Linked DNA regions of Lytechinus pictus. The protein of the gene in region 2 interacts with the protein of the main gene of each other region in a pairwise test. Links are inferred from orthologs where the notes say so. Each region holds a gene or a part of one and is shown on either strand. Other genes may lie near its edges.

Region 1 (10,685 bases), on a different chromosome or scaffold from region 2:
AACAGGAAGATATTTTCTTCATGACTCCTGTGTTGGCATAGGTTGGTCCTATAACTCTGGAACTAGTATTAGTAGTATTAAATTGTGTGATGAAGAAAACTATATCAAAGAGTTTAAGAAACCATGAGAGATGAGTGCACGTACAATATATCTGCAAGTATTTGCTGTTGATTTTCACATCCAGCGTCTTTTTTTTCTCTCTTTCAGCAATGATAAAGCAGTTTCTGACTGATGTTGTATGGGGTGAATTAGACTACCTTATTATAGATACACCACCAGGTTGGTATGATTCAGAAAGCAAATTATGAAAGTTTGGTAATTGGTTGTCATTTCATTTTACTCATTTTATTTTACATAAATTCTTTAGCATTTACATTTTTTTTACTTTTCCCTTTTTTCTTTCTTTTCCCTTTTTTCTTTCATTGGCAATGGAAATGTATCAGAAATTGTTATTTGAATAATGTATTCACATGTAAAATTGCCATTATCCAAATCATGAGCAACCTTATTTTGTACATTGTTGGAATGTTTGAGCAATTGATTTTGAAAATATTTAGATTATTTATTTAATGAAAAAGAGTTGAAAAATATATCTGTTGTAAGGGGTTATTTTGCCTCGAAATCCCCCTATTTTTATTTTTTTTTCCACATGGGATCAAAGCAGTGCATTGACCAAGATTTAAAAAAAATGATACTGACTTCATGAATCAACATGTCAGAATTTTCAACATGCTGGCATTTTTGTATGAATCATTGCCTGATTGTAACAGTAATTTTTGGTGTAGTGATTTCTTGAATCATTGTGTTATATTGCATAATCTGTTCATTGTATATTTACATAATCTATTACAAAATCTGCTTATTTTATAACAGGTACATCAGATGAACACATCACAGTGGTAGAGAATCTCCAGTCTCATAACCCGGATGGTGCTGTCCTTGTTACAACTCCTCAGGTAATTCAGGCTGGCCTATGACAGTTGTTACCTTTTATTTCCCGATTTATAGGAATCCCATGCTTTTTATAGTATTGCCTTATACATTCTCGTTATTTTCATTTACAATGGAGAGGGGAGAATTATATGAAACCATTTTGAATCATCACCTAATTTCATTTGGGAGTTATCCAATAATAGGTTTCTTTAATTTTGACACTGCTCTTCTATTGTAATGTATTCTTCCCCCCTGATGGATTCCCCTCATTTTAACAATTCCTAAGCCCTCATTTGCATGTTCATAATTTGCTCAAGAATCATTTCTTTGCCCTTGTACCTATCATGAAAAATGAATAAGATGGATTATTAGATCATTTTAGATGTGTGATTAAGCTATTATAATATTGTGGGGTTTTATCCTCTGCAGGCAGTAGCTGTAGGTGATGTTCGAAGAGAGCTAACATTCTGCAGGAAGACGAAGCTAAGAGTGTTGGGACTGGTAGAAAACATGAGCGGGTTTGTCTGCCCTCACTGTTCAGTAAGTATCTGCTTGATGATACATAAGGGAAAATAATGCATTAACGTACCCAGCCCTACCCTAAAAATATCCCTGACCCTACGTTTTTTCCTTTGTACAGTTATCGATAGAATCAATATCACATATCTTGCTGACTTTGCGATCGAATTGAAAAACGGAAGTGACGTGTGTTTGAGCCGGTGCATGAAATATCTCAGGCTTTGGTGTATGGGTAACCAGTTAATACAACAAATTGATCCTGTCTTTAGTGAGTTGTTTGTATGTATGCATGACTTGTGTGTGTATGACTGCGAGTGTTGGGGTGTATGTGTAGATATTGGTATCAAATACACTTTTCAATTTAAATAATTTTCACTCTTCTCCCCCCCCCCCCTCTTTTTTCTTCTTTGAAGGAGTGTTCCAATGTGTTCTCTCAAGGAGGTGGTGAATCACTGGCAAAGGAATGTCAAGTTCCCTTTCTAGGTAAAGATGGTTTTGCTTTTGAATTTATTGTTCTTTTTATTTCAAATGATTACCATAATAAAATAGCCACTATTTATATTTACATTTCTTAGATTAATTACCATAATGAATACCTCAGATTAGAAATAAGAATGAAGAAAAGTGGTCAGCTTGAAAATATTGATAAACAAATTACAAATTATAAATAACACATAAAAATGAAAATGAAGGGCTTATTAGAGATTAAAGATGATAAATTGAAAGTTACAGTGATATTTAGTAATTTAAAGGGGAATAAAATATTATCCCAAGAAATCAGGTGTTTTCAGAGAGCTTATTTTTACATACATGAGTCTTCTTTCATTTTGTGTATTTCACAGGTAACATTCCACTGGATCCTCAACTTGCGAGCTGCTCTGAGGGTGGTCAGGGCTTCATAGAGGCCTTCCCATCATCCCTGTCAACACAAGCCATCCAAAGCATAGTTGAAGCAGTCATAGCAAGCACCGATACAAGTACGACGTGACACATGCTGCCTGGCTACGGGAATACAAGTACTAGGAACCGTTTATATAGTTTTAATAGTTAGGAATAATCCATTGCCAGCAGTGCATGGCACAGAACCTTGTCAGTGCTCAACAGGCTCTCAAAGTCTGAGTGACAGAGGCTTCGCAGACCATATGATGGAGAATGAAATACCATTGGTGAGAAAAAGTGAACAGGATCAAAGATGAAGTATAATGAAGATACAGCCATATTCAGCTCATTATTCACCTTGTTAATCATCTTTAATACATCAAAGGAATTTATGATTAGTCAGACTGTATCTTGAAGGTAGTGGCTGAATTGCTCACAATTTGCATTCTACAAACTTATATCATTTTAACTCAGTTAAACAAATGCATGAGAAATTTCTGATAAACCTGATTTCTTCTCATTATGGCACAAATGGAACAAACATGGATAAATCCTTACCAGATTTTATGATGATAATGGCATTCTTGGTTTATAAAGCAGTGTCATTGAAACCTCCAGAATTGATTAGTCCTTCAATGGTTTGAATATTTGAGCTATTTAGTAGAGTGCTTCTGTTATCACTCTATTCAAATGTTTGATCATGATTATTCTGCAACTCAGAATTTAACCATGTAGCCATGATTCAAGTATGTTTTACCCCCATTTTGCACACAACAGATACAATTTTTTTCTTTTAGAAAGTCCCCTCGTTTTTTCTTTCTTTTATTTTTTGCAGACAGGGGTTGCATTCCAGGTACATTTTGGCTAAACCATCTCCCTTTAAATGCAGAATATTACAAAATAGAACCAGAAAAATAATTGATTACGAACTCATTAAAACAACTTTTTTTCCTCAAAATTTGATGCATTCGTTGTAAATAAACATGCCCAAAAGACCCCTCTTTACACTGTAGACAGTGGAAGATTTTGTAATCCTCTTGGTCGAATGAGCATTTGGTCAAACAATCACGTTGTCTAATACTTATGTTGTTACCAATAACACTGAACATGAAGAGTTTTAAGTTTGGACATATCTTTAACCAAGTTGAAATGAATTATTTCAAATTCAGAGTTGAAGTCTTTAATTACTAGAGTGATGATGAAAATATGTTTAGCTGATTCAAGCAACTCCGCTTCCTCTGTCATGTTATCCATTTCAATGTTAACATTATTTTTTACCAGTTTGTATTCTTTTGAATACCGGCCAAGGTATATTTATTCAATTTCATCCCGGAGTTTATTTACATACTTGAATTTTTTTCATATGAAATTATTTACCACGTCAAAGTTACAAAAATTCTTGACATAAATACAAATTATATCAGTCAAACACATCTGATGTAAAGACCTAGATTTATTTGTTGTTGATTGTTGTTTTTCTATTCTTGACTTGTTCCATTACCCTTAATTTATTACACTTTCTGTAAGACTGTTTTATAAAGCTATCTGTTAAAAAGTGATATTTTTGCATACTTTATAATTGAGATTGCAATATTATGTACATGAATGTATAAAATTTGAATAATTTGAAAAATGATTAATGAAGTTCAGTTGTATTGATTTGACAGAGATTACTTAAAGAATTTGGGTATTTCACAATCTGTTCATTATCATGAGAGGCCTACTTATCAATTTTGGAGTCAGCAACGTTTTCCCAGATAGCACAGGCTTCAAATGAAAATGGAAAAATTAAAGAAATACCGGTATTTAACTGAACAAAGAATCCCAAGTTCATGGAAGAAAAAGGATCGATTATTATAGCTAGCAGTGAGATCCTAGGAAAATAGTTTTGAATTAGGGGCCAGTAACACATAGCTCAGCAATCATCATAGAAAGAATATCTACAAATGATTGCATCGACTACAATGTGCAATCAATCTAAAAAATCAAGCTTATGATTAATTGCTAATGTTTGTGTTACCGAACCCAGGAGAGAAACATGGTGTCTAATGCAGGGTGTTTAGTGCACTGTGGTTGACCACTCTATCAGGATTAACATGGAGGAGTGACATGATATGGGTGAAATGATTGTTAAATGAGTGAATACAAAAAGTGATGCTTTTGGTAAGAAAAGGAGAGTGGAGATGAATGTGGATATTAAAGTCAAAGCATAAGTAAGGTTGGGTGTATTCAATTGTTATATTAGAGTCACTTTGCAAAAGGAGTTGCAATCAGACGCAACTAAAAAAATCAATTGCAACTTGGATTTTCAATCAATGAAAGGAGCGTATTAGAGACTTGATTTGGATTCGAATTCAAATCTTTCTGCTTTTTTTTACGAAAATAACTAATTTCTTAATTTTTTTTTGGTGAAAACCTTTTTTTTTGGTCAAATTTTCATCGGATGAAAACTCCCCCCCCCCTTTTTTTTTTGCTTGTCAAGTTTTCAATCAACTCAAAAATCCTGCGTACACTACTGTTTGCAGCAATATTCCCCAACCATCTTCAATCAATTTAATCAGTCCTATCTCTCCCTACTTGCTTCTGTATTTAGGGTTGTCCGTAGTTTCTCAAACCAGAAAAATGAATTCAAACAAAAGAAAAAAACAAGTAAAGGATTTTAATTAAATTTCCAACCAAATAAAAAAAACTAATGTTTACAGTTTTCTAATAGATTAGAGTGTTACTCCAGTCTGAAAATAACATGATCTTTGGAGCAAGAAACAAGAAAGCTTCATCAAAATCTATTTTAAAAAAGTTTATAATATCAATATTTTTTTTTATTTGTGCAAAATTTTGATCTAAGTGCTCTTCCAATTTTGATGAAACCATATCAGTGTTTTGTTTCTCTGATATTTACCATCTGTTCTAATGTTATAATTTTCAGCCTGGATTATCCCTTTAAAACTCATAATTTTGTATGCATTTCTTCTGAGCTAACACATTCTCATGAACTTTACACACACACATATAATACCATTCCATTATTTTTAAAATCCTTGCCTCTGTGCATGCCTGATAGGGGTGGGTATAGGCAGACAGAGGAGTAATTAATTGCTACCTCTTCCATCCCAAGTATTTAAAAATAATGATTTTAGCAATTTTTATGCAAATTGTCTAAAAAATATCCTCCCAAATTAAGTGTGCATGGGATCAAGCCCATGCAGATGCCATAATAAATCCTGCAATTATACTTCATAGGCCTAAATCAAAATGTAAAAAAAAAATATTAACTCCCAGCTTGTTTATGTTTCTGAATACTTTTAAATTTTCTTGCCACTATCAAAATTCCAAATTGTGGCCATGTCCCATTATCTTGTTGTATTTCTGTGTTTTAGGGTTTGTCTGCACTCGAGTCACCAAGATTCTGGCTGTGATGTCATTTTTCTTTGTTGTTCTGAAGACACTGTATGTTTAAATTTTTAGTAGAAATTGATCGCTGTATTTATTCGACGGGGTGTTGGAAAACCAATGGAGTACGCTGTTGAAGTAACAGCAGATAGACGTAAGGGTACCGTACCCGGTACGTTTGTTATGTGGATTTACGTGAATGGGTCAGGCCAGGAAGAGGTCAATCATAGATAGGATCGCCGAGTTTGCATGCAGTAATTTTTGATTTTCCACTGGTATGTATTTTGTTTGATTTTATGTGCTTGTACATTATAGTCTACTTTTCTGTTAACCCAGAGAGCTCCCGCCCGCACAGCGGGCGGGAGCCCAGAAGCTTACCGTGTATTTTACCATTGTCACCGGACTAGGGTGATTTATGGTCTAAATATTTCTCCAAATGAATTGTGAAAACAGAAAGTATACAATTACCATGATTATATGGATGAAGGTCTAACGAGTGGCAGATTCCTGACATCTGGGCACAGTCTGGAACCTCAAAAAAACGAAAAGTTCTCTCCTTCTACCCCGTCTCGATCGGCCATTTTTGTTAAAAATCGTAACAAAATGGCCGATCGAGACTGGGTAGAAGGAGAGAACTTTTCGTTTTTTTGAGGTTCCAGACTGTGCCCAGATGTCAGGAATCTGCCACTCGTTAGACCTTCATCCATATAATCGTGGTAATTGTATACTTTCCGTTTTCACAATTCATTTGGAGAAATATTTAGACCATAAATCACCCTAGTCCGGTGACAATGGTAAAATACACGGTAAGCTTCTGGGCTCCCGCCCGCTACGCGGGCGGGAGCTCTCTGACTCTGGGTTACTTTTCTGTTGGATTAGTTATTTAGCTCTGATTTTGTTAGAACTCATGACTGAGTCTTAACTTAAGACTTTTTAGCTTTGTCTTTGTTGCCGTTGGGAGGAGCCTCTCTGGGCCTGGACTGGCGGACTGGCTGCTCGCCTCTGCTACTCCGTCTCTCCGGGAAGCTCCGGGCTGCGTAATCCATGGGTCTCCGATCTCCGTTGCGTCTCAGTCACAGAATGAAAATCGCGGCGCTAGCTCTAGCGCAGCATAAATAATATGAGTGGGGTTGTTTTTGTATGGTCAGTTCCCCCATGTCTGCGCGGTCTCTCAAGTCTGCGCACCCGCGTATCTGCGCGATTCTAGTAAAAGAAGATACGCAACGAGCAAGAACTTTACACATGCAATACATAGACAGGTATTCATAAAAAATCTGACTCAAAATGGTGGAAAAATAATGAATTCAGGGCATTTCATGTGACGGCCTCAAAATGCAGCCTTTGTCATCAAAATCCCCAAATCGTGAAAGTGAATGAGTGCGCAGACATGGGGTACCATTTTTTTTTCAATCTGAAAATGACTGCCCAAAGGTTTTTTCAAGAAAATCTTATATTTTCTTTCATTTTTTAATGAGAAATTTGGTACACTTACTCTTAATAATATAAGGAACACTATTAACCAAAAGATTTTGTGAAATAAGAAGAAATTCATGTTAAATCTTAACTCAAATTGTTAGGTGCGCAGACTTGGGGCCCACCATCATAAATAAGGCGCTAATATTAAATGCAGTTTCAGACTTACACATTCATTGGCCAACAACCTGACGTCTTTGACTATGAAAGTATGATCAATGATGATTGATGGTGCCTTGGGCTTGGTGGCCAAGTCTGCGCACCTACCAATTTAAGTTAAGATATAACAATAACTAGACCAAAAGCTTCAGTCTCTGTATTTTGGTTGTTCCGCTGAACTACGTTGGCTCCACTCACCATACATAGACTGAAGGGGATGGGGCCCCGTACCTACAGCCAACGTATAGTGAACTAGCGTTTTATAGATCGCGATTTAAAACTGTTTTTTAAGCAAAATTGAAAGTTTCATGGTTTCCATTATCAGGGAAATATATATAACTTAAGTAATTGCATACCTTGGGCCGGAGTTATTGAAAAAAATCCTCTGGATGATTGAGAAATCTGTCATCTAAGACATTTTCACCTGACCTGACGGTTTTTCTTGCAAGTTGCCATCTTGAATGACGTCATTGTCGTTATTAACTTAATGTCTCGAATCGATATATCGCGATTATAACTAGTACTCGTACTAGTATAACTAGTATCGTTTATCTTCGGTTTCGTTCGCATATGGAGCAGATCGTATAATATCGAAAGCAATATCGATATCACATTCGTGATTGTTGACGTTCGTTTGTAAATATTTTATAGTTTGGCTGCCATTTTGACCATTTTTATCGTGTTCAACCCAATTAAACATCGGTAAAGTATATTTTTCATGCCTTTTTCATCTATATCGTTTAAAGTATTTAAATGTTGGAATATCATCAATTAAAAGTTTGTTGTTTATACATCCTTAGATTGTAAATTCGATGTGTAAAATTACATCAAACTTTGGACTGTGAATTGACAAAAGGGAGGGAATGAGAACACATGCGAGCCCACACGTACACCCTACCGTCGGTAAATGGGGATTACAGTAAAATGTCAGAAATTGTTGAATAAATCCCCAGAAACGACGGATATTCCTGTCTAAACAATAACAACATGATTCATGAATTACTTTTTCTTTCACAAAATCTTTCAGTTAACATTAAAATAATGATGTTCCTTATTTATATTATTATGAGTAAGTGTACCAAATATCTCATAACAATTTGAAAGATATAGGCCTAGGCCTATAGGATTTTCTTGGAAAAAACCTCGGGCTGTAATTTTCAGATTGAAAAAAAAAATGGTACGGTACCGTTACCCCATGTCTGCGCACCCATTCACTTTGCACACGATTCAGAGATTTTGATGAGAAAGGCTGCATTTTGAGGCTGTAACATGAAATGCTCCAAATATATTATTTTTCCACCATTTTGAGTCAGATTTTTTAATGAATATCTGTCTATGTATTGCATGTGTAAAGTCTGTGTTCGTTGCGTATCTTTTTCTACTAGAATCGCGCAGATACGCATGTGCGCAGACAAGGGGGACTGCGCAGACTTGAGGGAACTTGCCATACTTGAGTCAGGAAACTTATTTCACCTCAGTCAAATTTTGTCTGAATTTTTGCCAAAAATATCGCAAAGGCTTTGCCTTTGATCCCTTAACAGGTAATCATGGTAATGGTTAACCCAGGGAGCTCCGGCCCGCACAGCGGGCCGGAGCCCAGGGGCTTACCGTGTATTTGACCATGATACTCACGGGACTAGCGTGATTTATGGTCTAAATATTTCTCCAAATGAATTGTGAAAACAGAAATTATGCACTAACCGCAATTATATGGATGAAGGTCTAACGAGTGGCAGTTTCCTGACATCGAGGCACAGACTGGAACTTAAAAAAAACGAAAAGTTCTCTCCTTCTACCCCCGTCTCGATCGGCCATTTTTGTTATGAATCGTAACTCCCCAGAGCTCCCTGGGTTAGGTAATGGTGTGTGTAGTCTGTAGACAGCTGGCAGCCGTCTGTTTCAAGGAGTTTTTTAAACATTTTAATTTTTTTTCTTCGTACACAGACGGCCTGCGATCGTGCAGCCGCCATTAGGGGGTTAACAATGCAAAATCCCCCCGACGGGGCTCATCGATTTTTGTCTTTATTTCATGAAAATATATAAAAAGAACTGGACCTAAATAAAGATTATTCTATTCCGTTTTGGCCTGAAATGCACCAAAATGGGAAAAAATAAACTTAAATAATAATAATACTATTCAGTTCTTTTATAGCGCATAACACATAGCAACGCATGTCCCTATGTACTTGGATGAAATTAAGGAAAGAAATTAAAAAGTACAATGTACTTCGGCTGTCGCGCAACTCCCACTTCCCTGGTTTATCCGAACTTAATACATAAACATATGGCCATTGAGTCCCTGTACAGATCGAGTTAGAACTCTGGTCTCTGTAATTGGTGAGTGGAGCCAACGGAGTTCAGCGGAACAACCAATATAACAGAGACCTAAGCTTTTGGTCTATGGCAATGTGAACCCCTACCCTACGGCCTACAAAACTCCTAAGTATTGGAAACAAAACGAGACCATTGACAAGTATTCCCTGAATGGGCACCTAAACAAGTACAACGATATCTTAATTGTTATGTCACGGACGTGATCATGGATGTCGGCTTTACCTTTACTTTTCATAGTACCACCCAAGACACCTCTCTTAAATCGGACCCTAAACACGTAGTGTTGGGGCAAAAAGTAAATCCTTTATAAAGTATTTTAGTCTTTTTATACCATCGCAAATTGGACCATAAACACATAGTTTTCCTAGCGAAATATATATACCCCTTTTTCATTATTTTAGTGTTTTCGACACTCTTATTACGTTACGTATGTAACATGCCCTGTCTTGAAAAAAGAGATCCTTTTTACATGTTTTTTTGGTCACGTATGGTATCCACTCGTCAATGGAAGTGGCCCCACGCGGCCCCACCAGCCATGCACAAGTCAGATTTAGGCCTATTGAATTATCATTTTTCATATAGCAGGATTCACTTTGGTTTTCATTTCAGGACTTGTAGGTGACCAGCTGATGCTAGAGTGTATCTTCCAACGTTGAATTGATATCTATCATCTGCAAATATGGAAGATACTGCACAAAAGATTCGGATGATAGAGGAAAAATTGGCAGTTGTAAGCAAACAATAATTTCTGCTCACATGTATTGCATGATTTATAGAAGTCCATTCTAAAATTGAAACAAATTGTATTTGCAAACATAGATGACATACATGTGCATTACAAATGTTTTTTTTTTGCATAACATAGAGTATATTGCATGAAAAAAGTAAGGCAAATTTTATTGCTCCTGTAACCTTTGCAGAATACATTTAGATTAGATTTTCAGGAAAATTTTGCATTTTTACATTTTTATCATTTTACTTTTGCATAATTATGCATT
Region 2 (10,023 bases):
GTACTGTGCCTGGGTGGGGGAATTAGAGTGAGTTTTGAAGCAACTACAGTTTTACAAATTACACAGAATTTTCCTGTAATAATTTCTCTTGAGGAAGCTTTCTTCTCGAAGATGAGTACAACTGCAGCAAACATAAGTCTTTACAGCTCAGGCTAACTGTCATCTTTCATCACTGATCTAGATCAGGTTCATCTACATCAACCTAACTCTCTGAATCCATGAAATCTATGCTGAAAATGATCACACCGAACCTCACCAACACAGATAACCACATGTGGGACCAGGCTTTTATTGCCTGGAAAGCCATGTTTATTGTTTCAATATCTTAGTAATTACGCATTTTCTACCACAATCATTTGACAGATATGATTTTTCACACATATAAATTTACTGGATTCTTTTCAAACTCATATGGAGAATGTTACAACTCGCGTTAATGTTTGAATTAATGTTCGATAAGACAGAACCTGCTATATACATTGAAACCATCATCCGTCTCATTTCTTGGGTCTCCCGATCAAACAGATATTTTTATACAACTCCCAAGAGTGTTCTGTGATCTGATTGGTCCAAATCGGATCACATGATATTCAGCGAATTGCACTATTGCATCCAATATGCACTATCCTGCACTCTGACGTCAGAGTGCAGGATAGTGCGAGGTCTGGAATTATCTAGAATTTAGATCAAATATAGCATTTGGGGCAACTCAGTAACATGGGGGGGTTGTACAAAACAAACAATGCACGCATTCTTGTGCATAGAGGACCTAAATAATGAACTCTGTGCTCAACTCGCCAAATATCCATTGGCTCTTCTCGCACATCGTTCATTATTTAGCCCTGCATGCATGCGCTTACGTGCATTCTATGTGTATACTATGAGATGTCCCTCTCCTTTAAAGAGAGGCCAATAAACACAGGATATTGAAAAAACACCACAATACACACACAAATATTCTATTTCAACAATACAGAAATGTGCAGAGCGATGAAGATATGGAGGCCCAGAGGGAGAAACATATCAAAACAAAAGTTAGGCTCACCATTGGAAGTGACCTCATGATCTTATCAGAGGGTCTCTCCCCCTCCTGATTGCTAACACCATCCTCATCTTCCTCAGGGCTGGATGCGGTCCGCTGTCTACCAGTCTTCACATGACTTGACATCTCCCTCAGACTCTCATCCAACTTGTGTCGGGCACTGTCAGTGAATTCACAGACACGAAATTTAGTCTAAATACACTCATTACATGAAATTAACAAATTATTTCGTTCCTTCAATAAAGATAAACATAACCCACTCCCCAAAAATCCCCAATATCATCATTTACGGACAATATAACCTCTTGCCAATTTCCTAAAAAAGCTACTATTACAGAAACTTTGGTATCTTTAATGCAACTAGCCAACTACCTTGATAACAATACTTTAATAAATACCTACAAATCAATATCATTTTTCCAGTGAAGTGATGATTTTAATAGTAAAATTTCATACATCGGGCCATTGGGGTCTGTTAATGAAGAGTCACGATAATGGTACCTTTGAGATCCATCTGTAACTTCCTTGGAATCCTAGACTTGAGTGGTTGTTGAGCATTGTTACCATAGAATGGCAAAGTCACAATGATAATGATTGATGATGATGACGATGATAATAATTAATAATAATAATCATTTTGTATACCACAAATTGCCTCTAAGCGGTTAAAAGAAAGGAAATATGAAGTGAAAAAGATGATGACGATGATCCTGACGATGATGATGATGATAATAATAATAATAATCTGCTTTTATATAGCGATTAATACATCGGAACATCTCTAAGCGCTTTACAGATATATTGAAAGTTACAATGACAGTTACTTTGAAGAAACAAGTCTAATAATAAGAAAGTGTCTACATAGTTAAAGCTGTCAATTCATTAAGAAGTCATTACTCATACTTACTGAGAAAGAAACTCATCAAAGAGCTCATCGGGTGGTTCTTTGAGTTGCAGCAACAAATCTACACATTCAGCTAGCTGTTTAGCATCAGACTAGGGAATAATCATTGTATGAAAGATTACACAATATTTGGTTAAAAGCAACAGATCTATACATTGTTTAGCATCAGACTGGAGAATAACTACTACACGTATATGATGACACAATGGTTGGTTAAAAGAAACAGATCTACAAATTCAGCTAGCTGTTTAGCATCAGACTAGGGAATATTCATTGTATGAAAGATCACACAATGGTTGGTTAAAAACATATGTAACATTCTGCTTAGCATCAGACTAGCCATAATAATTACTGTATGAAATTGATTATACAACAGTTGGTTAAAAGCAACAGATCTACACATTGTTTAGCATCAGACTAGGAAATAAATACTACATGTATATGTAAGCGATTACACAATGGTCGGTTAACAGAAACAGATCTACATATTCAGATAGCTGTTCAGCATTAGACTAGGGAATAATCTTCATATGAAAGTGATTACACAACATCGGTTAAAAACAGATTACACATTCAGCTAGCTGTTTAGCATCAGACTAGGGAATAATCATTGTATGAAAGTGATTACACAATGGTTGGTTAAAAGAAACTGATTTACATATTTAGCTAGCTGTTTAGCATCAGACTAGGGAATAATCATTGTTTGTAAGCGATTACACAATGGTTGGTTAAAAGAAACTGATTTACATATTTAGCTAGCTGTTTAGCATCAGACTAGGGAATAATCATTGTTTGTAAGCGATTACACAATGGTTGGTTAAAAGAAACTGATCTACATATTCAGCTAGCGGTTTTATAGCATCAGACTAGGGAATAATCATTGTATGAAACTAGTGATTACACAATATTTGGTTAAACACACGTGTAACATTCTGCCTAGATCAGACTAGCCATAAAAATTACTGTATGAAATTGATTACACAATAGTTGGTTAAAAGTAACAGATCTACACATTAAGCCAGCTGTTTGGCATCAGACTAAGAAATTAATATTGTATGAAAGTGATAACACAATTATTGGTTAAAAGCAACAGATCTACACATCAAGCAAGCTGTTTAGCATCAGACAATGGAATAATAACTATGTAAAAGTAATTACAGAGTAGATAAAATTTAATATATGATCGAGGATTGAATTCAAAGATAATAACACAGAATCTAACAATTTTCAATCAAAATTCCAGGTTGACTTTGCAATCTGAGTAAAGTGTAATGATGTGGTAAATATGGTTACCCGACTCAAAGTGTAAACAGAAGTGCTATTTACAATCAGTTCAAAATGCAGATAACTTTGCTTCTTAATTCCAATCTATTCGGACCACAAATCTGTTTTGTTCAAATGAGAAATGTGCCTTAGAAGAGGTCTATAAAAGATGTGTAGCCTAATCTGGCATGAAAAAATTGGTTTGACCTTGGCGAATATTTGATTCAAGTTTACATGTATTACGGCAAAGTTTTTGCCCAATAATCTAAAGGCCTGGTCCCACTGGCCGAAGGACACAAAAACGTATTCATAACGGATACAGCGGACAAGCAAAATTTTGGGGTGGCTCCATCCGGTTTCATCCACTCCAGACAATGGACAAGATGGGCGAACAATGAAATAACAGTGGATGGATGCTCGATGGATATAGAGCGTATGATACATGTATGCCAAGAGTACACAACGGATACAAAACGTTTTCCAACGGATGGCAAGATTCTTTTCCATTTTACATCATCTCTGCATCCGTAAGTGGAGTGGGACTAAGCCTTTTAAGAATGATAGAACATTTACCTCTTTGTTCCCGAACTGTTCTCTTAACTTGAGCCTTAGTTCATTGACGATTTCATTGCAGTCTCTATGGATACCGTGGAATGAAGGCATGTGCTGGTACTGAAGTAGGACAACACGCGCTTTGGAGTAGTATCTGGGAGAGAAATCAAAGTAGATATACATGTAGACAAAGAATTTGCATCACAAAGTCTACAAGTAGCATATAGATTCAATTCAATTCATTTACATTCTCAAAAAAACACAAACAAACATGAAAAACATACATAAGATATAGAAGTAAAACATTGTTATGACATACAAAAAACATATTTATGAGAATGAGGGGCCAACAAAAAAGAGCAGGTAGCCTTATTGAACGTTGACCCAACATCTATAAAGACAAAAATAATTAATATTCCAAAAACAGATAACATAAATGAAAACAAATATTAACACGTAAATTCAGAATAGCGTAATTATACAGCAAATTAAGAATACAAACTTGAAAGATGTTATTTGTAATAATGTTTGAATGAATTGAAGGTTCGGCATATTTTTAAAGAATATGGTACATTATCCAAAGAATAGGTCCTTCAAAAAATTGAGTTATAAGAAACTGAAGCTCGCATATACATGTATGTAAATAATAAAAACAGGTTACATGGTGGCAAGATTCTTGTGTATGCACTTTTAGAGTAGTATCTGGGATAATTCAAAGTAGATACTGACAAAGCATTGTCATCAGAAATGAATGCAACATATGGGTCATTCTATCTAGAGCCTTGAATTTTGTAGGAATGGGTTCATCAGACCTGAGGTAGTATGACCACATGAATACATATGTGACCTACCACCCCCAAACCACCAATAAGTCGCCAGGTTAGGTTCTCTGTAAATAGCCAAAATAGTAATTTAGTCTCCAAAAAACAAAAATTAGAAAAATGGCTTATCTGAAAGAGCAATTCTTCTTCTTCATACTGTAAAAAAATTGTCGTGAAGTTGTGAAGTTGAATAAAAGAAAAGATACAAGAGTTTCTTGGACACTACTTTTTCGGACTGCTTGTAAGTTTCACTGAGATTACACAGTATGCACATCTTATGCTTGAGTGAACCCAAAACTTCAAACCTTGTTTTCAGCTCTTGCTGAACTTCCTCTGCATTCGATCAAGTACTTGTAATGCTTAGGCGAGGCGTCAAAACCCCAAATGCGTTCCAACGCGTGCATAGCCATTGTTCCATAATGAGAGTGTGCAAAGGAGTTCCAAGAGATTAGTACGAAGTACCGTTATATTCTACATTAAATCTAATTTGCATAATCCGTACACGCTGGGGAACGGGGCAATTATTATCTCGATCGCTATTGGCTAATCCGCCGGAGCGTCGCACGAGAATACACTGAATAGTGCAGGTTCACATACACATACACACACACAGCGCGCCAGCGTACACTTCACATAAAATGAGGTCAGTGTTCGGCGTGCACGTCGGATCAACATTTGCAGCGAAGCTTTGCAGCGAATGCAGCGCGTGAGGTGCGGGCGGATCTACGAGAGGGGGGAATAGGGGTTGCCTGGGGCTAGCTTCCAGTACAAAGTACCAATAAAAAAAAAAAAAATCCGTGTTTACGAGAGTCGCGCAAGCAAAACGGTGGCGGATTAGGACATGCTTTTAAATTGTTTTGAGGGGCGAACGAGTGAAAATATATTTTGTATGCCTTTCGTTATGAACTCCCGTTCTCCATGACGAAATGTAATTGACGAAAGGAAAGTAAAACAAAATAGAGGTAACAAACATCTCAGAATAGTTTGCGATCTATCAGGACATGTTTTAAAATTGATTTTAGGTGTCAACAAGTTAAAATATATTTGATATACCTTTCGTTGTAATCCCTTGTTCTCCGTTAAGAAATATTAAATACGTCTTTTCTCGACGATGTTGGAAACGTAAATAAAACAGAATAGAAGTCACAAACATCTCAGATGGGTGTGCGATCTATCACAACATGTTTTAAAGCTGTTTTTAGGGGTCAACAAGTTAAAATAGATTTGATATACCTTCCGTTATGATCCCCTATTCTCCGTTAAGAAATATTAAAGATGCATTTTCTCGAAAAAGTTGGAAACGTCGATAAAACAAAATAGAAGTTGGTAGCATCTCATATTTATTGGTGATACATATTTTTCGAGGGGTCAACAAGTTAAAATATATTTGATATACCTTTCGTTTTGATCCCTTGTTGTCCGTTAAAAATATTAAATACGTCTTTTCTTGACGATGTTGGAAACGTAAATAAAACAGAATAGAAGTCAAACACATCTCAGATGGGTGTGCGATCTATCAGGACATGTTTTAAAATTGTTTTTAGGTGTCAACAAGTTGAAATAGATTTGATATACCTTTCGTTATGATCCCTTGTTCTCCGTTAAGAAATATTAAATACGTCTTTTCTTGACGATGTTGGAAACGTAAATAAAACAATAGAAGTCACAAACGTCTCAAATGGGTGTGCGATCTATCACAACATGTTTTAAAGCTGTTTTTAGGGGTCAACAAGTTAAAATAGATTTGATATACCTTCCGTTATGATCCCCTGTTCTCCGTAAAGAAATATTAAATAGGTCTTTTCTCGACGATGTTGGAAACGTAAATAAAACAGAATAGAAGTCAAACACATCTCAGATGGGTGTGCGATCTATCAGGACATGTTTTAAAATTGTTTTTAGGTGTCAACAAGTTAAAATAGATTTGATATACCTTTCGTTATGATCCCTTGTTCTCCGTTAAGAAATATTAAATACGTCTTTTCTTGACGATGTTGGAAACGTAAATAAAACAGAATAGAAGTCACAAACATCTCAGATGGGTGTGCGATCTATCAGGACATGTTTTTAAATTGTTTTTAGGTGTCAACAAGTTAAATTATATTTGATATACCTTTCGTTGTGATCCCTTGTTCTCCGTTAAGAAATATTAAATAGGTCTTTCTCGACGATGTTGGAAACGTAGATAAAACAAAATAGAAGTCACAAACATCTCAGATGGGTGTGCGATCTATCAGGACATGTTTTAAAATTGTTTTTAGGTGTCAACAAGTTAAAATAGATTTGATATACCTTTCGTTATGATCCCTTGTTCTCCGTTAAGAAATATTAAATACGTCTTTTCTCGACGATGTTGGAAACGTAAATAAAACATCTCAAATTGGTGTGCGATCTATCAGGACACGTTTTAAAATTGTTTTTAGGTGTCAACAAGTTAAATTATATTTGATATACCTTTCGTTGTGATCCCTTGTTCTCCGTTAAGAGATATTAAATGCGTCTTTTCTCGACGATGTTGGAAACGTAGATAAAACAAAATAGAAGTCACAAACATCTCAGATGGGTGTGCGATCTATCAGGACATGTTTTAAAATTGTTTTTAGGTGTCAACAAGTTAAAATAGATTTGATATACCTTTCGTTATGATCCCTTGTTCTCCGTTAAGAGATATTAAATGCGTCTTTTCTCGACGATGTTGGAAACGTAGATAAAACAAAATAGAAGTCACAAACATCTCAGATGGGTGTGCGATCTATCAGGACATGTTTTAAAATTGTTTTTAGGTGTCAACAAGTTAAAATAGATTTGATATACCTTTCGTTATGATCCCTTGTTCTCCGTTAAGAAATATTAAATACGTCTTTTCTCGACGATGTTGGAAACGTAAATAAAACAAAATAAAAGTCACAAACATCTCAGATGGGTGTGCGATCTATCAGGGCATGATTGAAAAATTTTCCAGGGGTCAACAAGTTAAAATAGATTTGATATACCTTTCGTTATGATCCCTTGTTCTCCGTTAAGAAATATTAAATACGTCTTTTCTTGACGATGTTGGAAACGTAAATAAAACAGAATAGAAGTCAAACACATCTCAGATGGGTGTGCGATCTATATCAGGACATGTTTTAAAATTGTTTTTAGGTGTCAACAAGTTAAAATAGATTTGATATACCTTTCGTTATGATCCCTTGTTCTCCGTTAAGAAATATTAAATACGTCTTTTCTTGACGATGTTGGAAACGTAAATAAAACAATAGAAGTCACAAACGTCTCAAATGGGTGTGTGATCTATCACAACATGTTTTAAAGCTGTTTTTAGGGGTCAACAAGTTAAAATAGATTTGATATACCTTTCGTTATGATCCCTTGTTCTCCGTTAAGAAATATTAAATACGTCTTTTCTTGACGATGTTGGAAACGTAAATAAAACAATAGAAGTCACAAACGTCTCAAATGGGTGTGCGATCTATCACAACATGTTTTAAAGCTGTTTTTAGGGGTCAACAAGTTAAAATAGATTTGATATACCTTTCGTTATGATCCCCTGTTATCCGTTAAGAAATATTAAAGATGCATTTTCTCGACAAGTTGGAAACGTAAATAAGACAAAATAGAAGTCAGTTGGTAGCCTTTCATAATTATTTGCGATCTATCAGGACATCTTTTAAGATTGTTTGAAGGTGACAAATCGTATCAAGGTTATACCGAGGTTGTTTTACCTGACTGCTAAGAAAGCACGAATGCCTGTGAGCAAGCAACCAGGGGACGAACGGCTTAAGGTCCTCTCCGAGGGACCTGGTAATGAGGATAAATGCCTTACCAAAGGGCACTAGCGCACCACTTGGGAATCGAACCCGGTTCACCGGAATCCGAAACCCCCGCTCTACCGACTGAGCTATCGCGCCTCAGCTAGCGCTGCACGCTTGCATTTTGATTGGCGAGTTATGTATGTCTCAATATTGATTATACAACAAACTACTTGAAATCCCCTTTTCATGACAGTTTATCAAAAAAATTGGCTCACGGTTTGCGTTCGCATTAATGATTAAATATATTAACTTGATGCATCATATTTATAGTTACAAAGGTGCTTGAAATGTCCAGATTTCAGGCCATAATATCATCAGATTTCGCGCCCTCATTATGCATTCATGAATATTTAACATATTTCGGGTGATTTCATGCAACGGTCTAGAGTGGGCCATAATGTGCCTGCACTGTACATCTATAGGTCCTTGGTTGAAGTCAACGATCCTATATAACGACCCCTTGAACCTGAATTGGGTCAATTACGCCGTCTAGCACGTTTTGAGAACAATGGATGAAGGTGTGAAAATCACAAAGCAGCTAACAATAGGAAAAATCCGTTTCAATTGAAGTTACGCTATAGATTGCGTATAGCGGTTTGAATGTGAAACCCTGAACATGCTGAATGCCTCATTGTCTGTATGTTACTACTGTGTACTAGTAGGTCCATGGTTATAGACTCTATTATAGTTGCGTGCATGTCTTCTCCAAGCCGATTCATAGCTTGTCGGTGGCTTTAATGCACGTAAAATACAAATATACATGTAACTCTATAGGTCCCATTATAGGGCATTTTTAACGGAATCGCCGATGAGATAATTTTGACAAAACAAAAATGAATCACACTAATTATGCAGCAGCTATGTTTCTAAACATTACATGATCAAATAAAAGACACGGGATGATATTTATTAAATTTGTTAATGGCGGCTGGTCTTTATGATAAAAACATAGGTCTATTTTATCTTTAAGACATGAGAAAACAAATAAATCAATTGTATAATTAATGTGTGTGTTTTACTTTTTACAAACGTGTATCAATCGAACATGCTGACTACATGAAGAGTGCTGAGGTCCATTACATGATTTATTGGTATTTACACCGAGTTCTCAAATAATGGTACAAGATTTTAGAAAAGAAGTTTTGAGTGTCGTCTCGTGTACTTCAAATCTTAGCAAATGTTAAAAAGTTTCTGAAATGTCGGGGACATCCCGATAGACCGCGGCTCCGATAGACCGCGGGTCCGTTAGACCGCGGGTCCGATAGACCGCGGGTCCGATAGACCGCGGGTCCGATAGACCGCGGGTCCGATAGACCGCGGGTCCGATAGACCGCGGGTCCGATAGACCGCGGGTCCGATAGTCCGCAGTGTGTGTAAAATTATGATCAGATATATCAAATGTCATCGAGAGGTCCAAAGGTCAAATGATACGAGGCCATGGGGTTCTATCAGGTGCGGATCCATGGGGGGGCCGAGGGGGAACTGCCTCACCCCCCCCACCCCCAGCTCAAAAAAGAGGGGGGGAAGAGGGGAAAAGGGAGAGAATAAAAAAAGAGGAAGATGGGAAAAGAAGAGAATAGAAAAGAGAGTAAGAAGGAGAAAGGAAGAGAAGAAAAAAAGAGAAGAAAA

What was found.
Region 1: the proteins of vacuolar protein sorting-associated protein 51 homolog (region 2) and exocyst complex component 7-like interact in a two-hybrid assay, tested with the Drosophila melanogaster proteins (2 studies listed by BioGRID). The link is inferred for Lytechinus pictus from reciprocal best matches to the Drosophila melanogaster genes Vps51 and Exo70.

What each region holds. Positions count from the first base shown.
Region 1 is NC_087254.1:33,360,950-33,371,634, forward strand, and holds the start of exocyst complex component 7-like, read left to right. Parts: upstream 1-5,775; 5' UTR 5,776-5,996; intron 5,997-10,296; 5' UTR 10,297-10,366; coding exon 10,367-10,417; intron 10,418-10,685. Other genes in the region: cytosolic Fe-S cluster assembly factor NUBP2 homolog, read left to right, coding at 208-279, 874-956, 1,363-1,473, 1,866-1,935, 2,295-2,440. UniProt on the Drosophila melanogaster protein: Required for exocytosis. Thought to function in intracellular vesicle targeting and docking before SNARE complex formation.
Region 2 is NC_087256.1:24,415,731-24,425,753, reverse strand, and holds the start of vacuolar protein sorting-associated protein 51 homolog, read right to left. Parts: upstream 3,914-10,023; 5' UTR 3,873-3,913; coding exon 3,783-3,872; intron 2,039-3,782; coding exon 1,950-2,038; intron 1,203-1,949; coding exon 1,046-1,202; intron 1-1,045. UniProt on the Drosophila melanogaster protein: May act as a component of the GARP complex that is involved in retrograde transport from early and late endosomes to the trans-Golgi network (TGN).